3 linked regions of the Kluyveromyces lactis genome follow. The protein of the gene in region 1 interacts with the protein of each later gene in a biochemical or structural test. Links are inferred from orthologs where the notes say so. Each region holds a gene or a part of one and is shown in the gene's direction. Other genes may lie near its edges. The genes, in order: PRP19, CWC2 and CEF1.

What was found.
Region 2: the proteins of PRP19 (region 1) and CWC2 form a complex in vitro, tested with the Saccharomyces cerevisiae proteins (3 studies listed by BioGRID, with this or other methods). The link is inferred for Kluyveromyces lactis from reciprocal best matches to the Saccharomyces cerevisiae genes PRP19 and CWC2.
Region 3: the proteins of PRP19 (region 1) and CEF1 form a complex in vitro, tested with the Saccharomyces cerevisiae proteins (2 studies listed by BioGRID, with this or other methods). The link is inferred for Kluyveromyces lactis from reciprocal best matches to the Saccharomyces cerevisiae genes PRP19 and CEF1.

What each region holds. Positions count from the first base shown.
Region 1 is NC_006040.1:326,925-330,486, forward strand, and holds PRP19 (E3 ubiquitin-protein ligase PRP19), read left to right. Parts: upstream 1-1,433; coding exon 1,434-2,909; downstream 2,910-3,562. Other genes in the region: OCA5 (Oca5p), read left to right, coding at 1-1,049; KLLA0_D03905g (glutathione peroxidase), read right to left, coding at 3,204-3,562. UniProt on the Saccharomyces cerevisiae protein: Probable ubiquitin-protein ligase involved in pre-mRNA splicing.
Region 2 is NC_006039.1:1,336,640-1,339,537, forward strand, and holds CWC2 (active spliceosome conformation promoter CWC2), read left to right. Parts: upstream 1-1,344; coding exon 1,345-2,358; downstream 2,359-2,898. Other genes in the region: snoRNA-binding protein NHP2, read right to left, coding at 1-387; mRNA splicing protein PRP28, read right to left, coding at 2,800-2,898. UniProt on the Saccharomyces cerevisiae protein: Involved in the first step of pre-mRNA splicing. Required for cell growth and cell cycle control. Plays a role in the levels of the U1, U4, U5 and U6 snRNAs and the maintenance of the U4/U6 snRNA complex.
Region 3 is NC_006039.1:634,768-638,373, reverse strand, and holds CEF1 (Cef1p), read left to right. Parts: upstream 1-1,391; coding exon 1,392-3,023; downstream 3,024-3,606. Other genes in the region: EFR3 (Efr3p), read right to left, coding at 1-745; CAF20 (Caf20p), read left to right, coding at 3,236-3,606. UniProt on the Saccharomyces cerevisiae protein: Involved in pre-mRNA splicing and cell cycle control.

The sequences.
Region 1 (3,562 bases):
TGGTCTTGGCAGGTCGGAAACACCATCATCATAACTCTTGTCTGAGACATTTATATGAGGAATATCCAATTCCTGATGAACTACTGAATCAATTACCTGATACCGAGTTTGATTTTGCCGCTATCTATGAGCGTTTAGTATTAGTGTTGTTTCATGCTCCAGCATTAGACGAAAAACCTGATAAATCTAATTATCACCTACTTAAGAGTGGGAATCTGAATCAACAATCGCAATTGTTCTTCAAGGTTTTCGCCAAGACGTTACCCGAACTGTATCAACCCATCACTGATGAAGGCGCTTTGCAAGGTTCCAAGAAGGCTACTTGGTTGTATTGGTGGATCAAATGTTGTGGTTGCAGAGTGTTGCATCGTCAGGATAGAGGAAGAGTATGGGATGTGTTGCTCGGATGGAGACCACGTCCTGAATCAATCAACTATTATCTCGAGTACAACCATAAATCATTTGAAAGCATTTATCCACCTGAATTGAAACTGAGTTCAGAGATTTTCCATAAGATTTGCAAATGTGAACATGATGAGTTTTGGTTCCCAGATTTGATGTCGTTAAGGCTCGGTCAAAATGGATTGAACCAAGATGAAGATGTCATTCGGGAATTGATACGAAGAAATAAATATGGGGACGATGGTCATACTACAGAAACACAAGAAAATGAGATTCCATATTCGCTCTTGAACCCTCATGCGGAGTTACTTTTCATATATGTTGCCATTATGCAACATAACGAATTTAAACTTTTAGAGTTTGAGGAAACAGAGATCACCGAGTTCTTAAATAATGTCCCACTGATATCAAAATTCGATGACTACAACTTCAAGAAGATGTACGAGGATGATGACATTAGTGGAAGTTCGACAGACACAGATGAATCCAACGCTTCAGGAATTAGACCAAGTTCTTCAAATCATATGATGATAGAGGTCGGTACTGACGATAAGACTGCACACTCGTTTGATGACATCTACCAGCAGGCTGGAGACATCTGGAGAAATTGGGCTTGGCAGGAAATGGAAGAATTCATAGAAGAATGATATATCAGCATTATATTTGTGTCTTTCTTGTATGTAGTATATCTTCTTTTCCTTTAATTAGCATATATATATATAAAAATACTATATACATCTCGAGCTCTATGAATATTGCAGATTGTATTCTAACCTGTTGGAGCGTTCTAACCAGCCAACTAAGATGTGAGTTGATTTGTTAAATAAAGTCATTTCTTCATCCAGTATTTTTTTGCATGTTCAAAAGAGAAACGAAAGCATTTTTATTTAACATTAGAAAACCAACATAAATGTTACATGAAAGATGAAGCACCGATATACATAATTAGATAATGGCTTCAAAAAGGAGAACCTTGGGGCTTACTTCTGGTGAAACTACTTAAGGACTGGCTAAATTGAGGTACGCTAATTATGTTCTGTGCAATTAGTGGGAAACCACCTATAAAAGCTGTTCTTTCACCTAATTCCAAATGTATATTTGAACAGCATCTAATCGAACAGTATATTGAACAGAAAGGAACAGATCCCATAACGGATGATCCATTACAAAAAACAGATTTGGTTGAAATCAATGCGACTCCACAGCAGATATCACTTTCAGAATCATTGAGCTCGTCTACTATCGCAAACAACTATAGCATTCCAAGTCTATTGTCAACTTTGCAGAAAGAATGGGATGCAGTAATGCTCGAGAATTTCGAATTAAGGAAGCAGTTAGACGTTTGTAAAAAGAATCTCAGTGATACACTTTACAGGTTTGACGCTGTTGCATCAGCGGCAGCAAAAGCTTTTGTAGAGCGAGATCAGCTGAAGCAAGAATTAGCAGAACTTACATCGGCAATAACTTCCTCGAATGTCGAAAATGATGGAACTATTGATAAACTCCAGAACTCAGACCAAATTCTATCAGACTTTACTTCAGAATTATCGACGAAATCTCAAGAGTACGTGACAAATTCCAAAAAGTCTAAGAAAAAGCTACAACACTTCTCCAACGTTTCAGTCGTTCAATCGACAGATTTCTCTGAAATTGATTTGATTAGCAGAAATCAGCATGTCAATCTTAATGAAAGATCTGTTGTTGTAAAAGATAATGACAAAGCTTTTGTGTTTGGACCTCAAGATTCTATTCTTGATGTGTCACAAGCCACAGAATATCTGGTGGAGTTTAAAGACGTTCTATACACCTTCACCCAGGGACTATTAGCAGCGTATGACCTTCATACAAAGTCTTTGTTGTATGAAGAAGTTTTGGAAGGAACTGATGGGCCAGTGATATTTATGGCTTATCCTCATCAAATATCGGATTCTTACTTCTTATTCGTAACTGAAAGAGGTACAATATATGGGTATGAAGTTACCAAAAAAGCACTGTTCACCATCTCACAAGTTAAATTGAACGATTCCGTTCAATTTGTGAATTATCATAAAGATGGAGCTCTTCTTGCTATTGGTAACCAAAACGAAGGTGTATATGTAATAAACCTATTGGCTGCTACAAAAGATCCGATTAAATTTTCAACTGGCTTCCCAGCTAAAAGAGTAGACTTTGGTTTGAACGGTTATTGGATGTTTGTCTTTGGTGATTCTGACTTGAATGTTTACGATTTAAGAAAGGATCCAGGCACCTTGGCAATGGAACCACTTTCTTTCGCTGAGAATATCATCAGTGTGGAGTTGGACGATACAGCTAAAGGTTTTTTCGTAAGCATGGGTAATTCACAAGTACAATGGTATGAGTATGTTAAGGGACAGTCATTTGTCGAAAAATCTACTCTTCCGATCGAAACAAATACAGCAGAATCCATGACATTGGTAAAAATAGATCAAGGATATTTCTTGAACGTCATCTCGGAGAATAAATGCATAACATATGAGTTGAAGTAGATATATGATACTTGTCCTAAATAAGGTATAAAAATTGTAATTATTAGAATAATCACTGATTTGATGGTGAGAGTCGTTAAATATATGATCCGATAATACGTCGAAAAATGAACATGTATGAACTCGCCCCCATATATGTACGTGATTTCATCGTAAAAAGAAGTGAAAATCATGCTCTTTAAATATCGAACTGTGTTTGTGTTTTTCTTGCAAGTGAATAAACGGGAAAGAAGATGGCATTACAGAATATGAAAAAGGGATTACCCCGAAGAACTCTTCTTTACCATCTGCTAGTCATGATTGTAGTTGGCTTTTTTGTTTTAGTAATTGTTCGATGTCTTCCTTCATACTTTTCGGTTTCGTCAACGTGGAATACCGTCCATGGACTCTCCCTGAGCGATCGATCAAAAACTTCTCAAAATTCCATCTAACGAACGTGAACCCAAACATTCGCGGTTGTTGATCTTTCAAGTACTTATATAGCGGAAGAGCATTGACACCATTCACTTTACACTTCTTCATTATTTTAAAACTGACACCGTAGTGCTCCTGGCAAAATTTTCCTATTTCTTCATCGGAACCAGGTTCCTGGTTCATGAACTGATTGCAGGGGAATGCTAATATTTCAAACCCTTTTGCATGGAATTCTTTGT
Region 2 (2,898 bases), on another chromosome or scaffold:
CTTAGCATCTTTCTTCTTGTTAGAGCCTGGAACGATGAATACAACAGAAGTAGGTCTCTTGGTGGCACCAGCAGAACCTAGATCTTGCTTCGAGGGCACAAAGATATATGGAACAGATTGGTCTTCACACAAAACTGGCAAGTGAGAAATAACATCTTGTGGGAAAATATCACCAGCAATGACTACTAACCCTTTATCACCCTTTCTCAAAGCCTTGACAACCTCTTTGACACCTCTTTTGACATTCTTAGCCTTGGAAGCCTTCTTGACGGTCTTTAACACCTTTTTGTTCAGTTTCTTTGATGCTAGAGGTTTTGCAAATGGTAGAACGGCAGGAAGTCTAGCTTCGTAGTTGTCTTCTGTTGATACACTCTTATCCTTGGCCATCTTTGTTATTATGTATAGTTCTTCACTGTTCCCCTGGTTCAAATAGAGCGAGCAATTGATTGAGAAAGGAATCAATATCACATCAGCAAGATAGGTTCATCGATTCATTCAACAGTTCAATTCTCATACTCATCGCTCTTCTTTTTGTTAACAAAAAATGAAAATTTTCCAGTACCGAGTAACATGAAAAAGAAATAAAGTATCAATTACAGTAGGGACGACATAAATTAATCCATGCGACACATAAACAACTTTTCAGAATATCGTGCCAGCGTCTTGTTTCGGAGGTGGTACATAGCAGTTGTAGAAATGTCCATCGCCTAACATTATTCTGGATGAGTCCCTTTAATTTCATACAAAACTTGGAGTTTTAAATGGCGAACAATATGTACAATGATTAAACTCTGTAGGAGAAATTAGCTGTTCCAGGTGCAGGGCATTATTGTCCTGTGATCACTTCACTTGTATAATTAAATACTTTAAAAGGTTTAAATACTCCATATACCTCTTAATGTCAGGCAATGTAGTCTTAGTAAACCTTGAAGTTTGGTTATAGCATCATTGAAAATTACAACACACAAGTAACTTCTCTCGGTAGCCAAGTTGGTTTAAGGCGCCAGACTGTAATTTGAAAACACAAAGCAATTTGTAATCTGGAGATCGGGCGTTCGACTCGCCCCCGGGAGACTTATCTTTTTTTCGTTTCCATTTTGTTTTTGATCATGATCGTTTTCACTAAAGAAAAGTTCCAACCTTGAAGTTTATTGAAAACACTTTGGCCTGCGATGAGATGAACATGGAAGATGTGTGCTCGACAAGATACAGTTTTCACCGTTATAATACGGTATCTGTTGTTGCATAAATTGGACGGTTCAAACTGTTTGCTTGTTCGAGGTCATTAAAGAATACTTGGTTTGGCAAATTGCCAAATATTAAGGTCATCGTCATCAATATATTATGACTGGGGATTGGAAGAACCGACCAGCAAGGGTTCAGTTACAGGAGTCTGACCTACCTTCATCAGTACCGCCTCAGACGGGTTTGGCTTTCAACGTATGGTACAACAAATGGTCACAGGGGCAAAGTGGGTCCACTAGGTTCGTCACACCGTACTCGCTTGATCCCGAGAACGATTCTGGTATCACTAAAGGTGATAAAGAGGGTCGGATTCATTTCTGTTTGTATTTCGCTAAGGGAATGTGCTGTTTAGGCAAAAATTGTCGGTACTTGCATCATATTCCAGAGCCAGATGATTTTGCGAGGTTAGCTTTGCATTCCTCTGCGTTAGATTGTTTTGGAAGAGAGAAATTTGCTGATTATAGAGATGATATGGGTGGGGTAGGTTCCTTCAAGAAACCTAACCGTGTCTTATACGTGGGTGGTATTACAGGGGCACTCAACAACAAAACTTTGAAACCACATCAGATTGAGAATAGAGTGAAATACAAGTTCGGGAAACTTGGAGAATTGGATTCTGTTCGATACGTGGAGAGTAAGAATTGTGCCTTTGTCAAGTTCAAATTACAGTGTAACTCCGAATTTACTAAGGAAGCAATGGGCAATCAGACTCTATTAATACCAACCGATAAAGAGTGGGATCTAAGGAAGGAGGGAACTGGGTTGCTTGTGAAATGGGCGAACGAGGATCCTAATCCAGCTGTACGAAAGAGAGAATTGGAAGAACAAACCCAAGAGACTTTGAAAGCTATAAAACAACTAGTGGCTAGTACTGAAGGCACTGTAAATCAAAAACGTAAAGTTGAAGAAATCAACGAAGTGAGAGATTCGCAGGCGAACAGTCGTGAAAGATTCAGCATTAGGGAGAATGCAATCATAGATAAGACTATTTTAGATAAGTTGAAACAAAGGAAAGTGACTATTACCAATACCAACGTTGCTGCAAATATAACAGTTTCAAAACCATCGTCGGTTTTACCTTTGGTAACCCAATATTCATCTGATGAAGACTAGATTTCGTGAAGTCATGTGACACATTGACTTTTCCAGATTAGGTATATTTTGGATTACTGGTTGCCGTCATGAACAACATCTAGCGGATTTCAGATTTGTTTTACTGACATTGCAAATATTTGAAATGAATATAAAAGCTATCAATGCCTGGTTTTCAAATTATGTCGAAGTTGTTTTGTCGAGTTCACTTACTTGAACTTCGTCAGTCTACGGTTTGGCCTTCATCAAAAAACACGATAATTTTGAATCAGACATCCGAAAAAATGGAAGACAAGGCACAGGCTCAAACAAGAACGCATGAATCGTCAGACCATTGGGTATTTCCAGGATTGACCTGGAATCCTAAATGCATTATTAGCTAGCACACTGTAACTATTTACGTTAAATACTCTAATTCATATTGCATGACTCTAAAATTTCAAGGAAAAAAGTCTAGTCCTTTCATATAATAATTGGTTTGTATGAAGATTTGTCAACATTGTATTTCGACATAGCTTCTTTTGAGATGTAATTTTCTCCGGTGAAGTCGTTCTTTTTGAC
Region 3 (3,606 bases), on another chromosome or scaffold:
CCAGAATTGAATAATCCCCTGTGTTCGAAACATCATCTAGACCCATCACTTTAGTTTGTGTTCTAGTGAGTTTCTTCTTCAACGCTGGAGAACCTGGTTCAGAAAATGAAGAGTCAATGGTAGCCTCACTATATATTGGATGCCTTTCTTGGAACTTCGTTAATGCAATAGAAACGCAGTTTTTGGCTGTAGCAGACCATTGGTGAATGCTTCCCAAGTTTGAGATCTTTGAAAAGTCTAAGCAACCTTTCAAAACCAAATCTGTGTCATTAAGTTTAGTGTTAGCAACTTTGAAGTACAGGGTTACGAAGTTTTTGAACAATTCTAAAAACTCAGAGTCCCCACTTACAAGAGACCCATCCAAATGGTTACAAATAGCTTCTAAAACTCTTTCAATCAAACCAACAATAGTTGGATCATTGTTAAAATTGTTGTTGTTCAACACTAAAGTCATAATGTGGATGAAATCTTTGATGAAAATATTCATGTTTTCATTACAATTCTCGACGATTTTAGCCAGTAGCTCTAGAGTGACAGAGACATTACCGGAACGTCTTCTGTTCAAATCCGTTGTCGACCTCTTCACAAGGTAACTGCTGACCTTTTCCAATTTTGGACGTCTCGAATTAACATAATATAACAAGTACGAAGTCTCTGACCCTTTTGGCTTCTTATCGGGAGTTCGGCCTGGTGGATAACACTGATTCACCAATTTCTGGTGCTTAGGGGTGAAGAGAAAGCCCATTGACACGGATCGTTGGAGTCTTTTGGATGGGTTTTATCGTCGAACCATCAATAGTGTTGGCGATTTCAATATAGTATGCAATTTCTAAGTTTAAAAAATGTCTTCGAACAAAAAACCCTTTTCCAGTTTTTATTGCGTAATAGAGAGCCAATCATTATATAAACAAGGGAACTAGAAAAACTATAGCTGAAAAAGAACATAATAATGTTAATGATGATCATTATTTAATAAGAGAAGAACAACATATACTTTCTCATTATCTGTCATGTGTTTTCTGAAAGAATTTCAGAGTTTGTTGTATTCTAATAAAATATAGGTAGTTTAAAGACCGAAGTACTGACTGGAGGAAGTCACAAAAGAAACCAGTATCCAGCATTGCTGAAATAATACGAAAAAGGTACCTATGCTCTTGCGAGTAAAGCAATATGTAAACTATGTGTTCGGATACAGTTCCCTCTTTATTCGCTGACATTGTTTTATTTCTTTATAACACTGTGTAAATCTAGATAATCCAATTTTGGGATTGGATTGAAAATAAAATTGACATATACTTGGTGGAAACATAGGAAACTAATTAATAATAGTATCAGCTAAAGCTGTAACGTTGGTTCAAAGGGAAGTTAATCAAAGGCGGTAACCACGTACGATGGCTCCTGTTCCGATTTATGTCAAAGGTGGTATTTGGACGAACCTTGAGGATCAAATATTAAAGGCGGCTGTTCAAAAATATGGAACACATGCATGGAGTAAAGTAGCTTCGCTTCTACAGAAGAAGAATGCCAGGCAATGTCAATCTCGTTGGAATGAATTTTTGAATCCCAGTCTAAACTTCAAACCATTCAGCCAGCAGGAAGATGATAAACTACTAGATTTAGCGAAAAGAATTCCAAACCAATGGAAAAGCATCGGAGAAATGATGGGTAGACCTGCTCAAACATGTATCGACAGATATAATATCCTCCTGGCGATTGATAAGGATGATTTAGAGCTTGCAGCAACTACAGGGGTACAGATCGGTGAGATCAACCCAAATAACGAAAGCTTACCAGCCAAGGCTGATAAAGATGAGCTACTTGACGAGGAGAGAGAAATGTTGGCGGAAGCTCGTGCCAGGCTATTAAACACTCAGGGTAAAAAGGCTACTCGTAAGATAAGAGAACGTATGCTAGAAGAAAGTAAGCGTGTTGCATTCTTACAGAAGCGTAGAGAGTTGAAACAAGCGGGCGTTGATAGTAAAATCAAAGCTCCCAGGAAGAAATATTCTTCGCAGATGGATTACAACGAGGATATTGCGTATGAACAGCAACCACTACCGGGTATATACGATACCTCAAAGGAGGATGAACAGACTGAGAAGCTACTCAAGAGTTTTGAGAAATTGGTAGAAAGGAAAGGTTTACTTGACAGGAAATCTGATGAAAAGAAAACCATACCACAAAAGAGAAGGCAAGGCGAACAAATAACGTCATCAGTAACAAAATTAGATTCTGTACTAACTGATGAGTACAAGAAACCTAAACTTGAGCTTACTCCTGCTACTTTAAAAGGATCAAAACGGAAGATAAACAAAACAACATCTATACTTCATTTATTTGAATCATTGCCTTCTCCTAAGAACGATTTTGAAATTGTATTGGATGATTTAGATGAAGAAATGGAATCCACTGATGCTTTTAATACTGAAAGTTCGTATGTTAATGGTAAATATCCCCTAGAAGCCTTAATATCTTCCACGGAACATCAATCGGAAAACAAGGCAATGGAAATAATGGAATACATACCGACAGTATTCCAAATAAAAACAGAATTACAGGTACCCAGTCCGATAGTAGATCCAAAGAATGAAATTGACCGTGAATTGAATCGTATAATCTCAGCAAAGGAGAATGGTAACCCCATTTACAATTCCACGGAAGTAAACAATTACTTAGAAGAGATCATTAATTCTGCATCCACCACCGAAGTGCCCAGCACTGTCTTACATCCCAAGTTGGAAACTAGCTTAAAAACTATAACACCGGCTACGGAGCACGAACTGCTCGGCATGGAACGAAAAGTGCATGAACTGCGAACAGCGCTTGAGGATTCCGTCAAGTCTCACAGAGAGGCTGTTTCACAACTTTCACAAGATTTTGAAGAAAAACTACATCCGACAGTGTCAGGCTTAGCATACCAATACTACACTGACTACATGAAGTACAGGAACGACCATAAGACTATGCAAGAAGAGACACAATCTCTTGCGGAACAGATCAAACTTGCCCAGCGTAGTCAATGATTACCCGGACCCTTCTTTTTGAGTCTTCCTTCCATAATCATGAAATTTTCAAATTATGAACTTAAAGATGAAAAGATTTACGAAATTGCAAACTTTAAGAACAATATGAGACAGTTAGCAATTGCTCTGTGTGGACATAACAATTCTCCCCTTTATTTCTACTGGAACTCTTTCGAAGCCATCACAAAGCAAATACTAATTCCCGGGCCACGATGATCAGGTACACAGAAGAAGAACTTTTACAATTAAGACCAACCGAACCAGTTAAACCAAACTTCGACGTTGATGAATTCAACGCTATAATTGAAAAAGTGAAAGAAATCCAAGAAGCACATGAAGAAGAATTTTCTCACTTCAGAAGAAGATCTTCTCACCACCATGCTAAACCAAAATTCAAGCATTTGAAACCAAAAATTACTACCGATGAGGAAGGATGGTCTACACTAGAAACTGCTCCAGCGGTCAGAAGAAAGTCTGTGGCTGAAGAAGAAGAACCAACCATTGTCATCGCTCAAGAAACATTGAAGGTGAAGCCAAACAAACACATTTCATCCTCAAGACCAGCTGATGCGAGGGATATCGT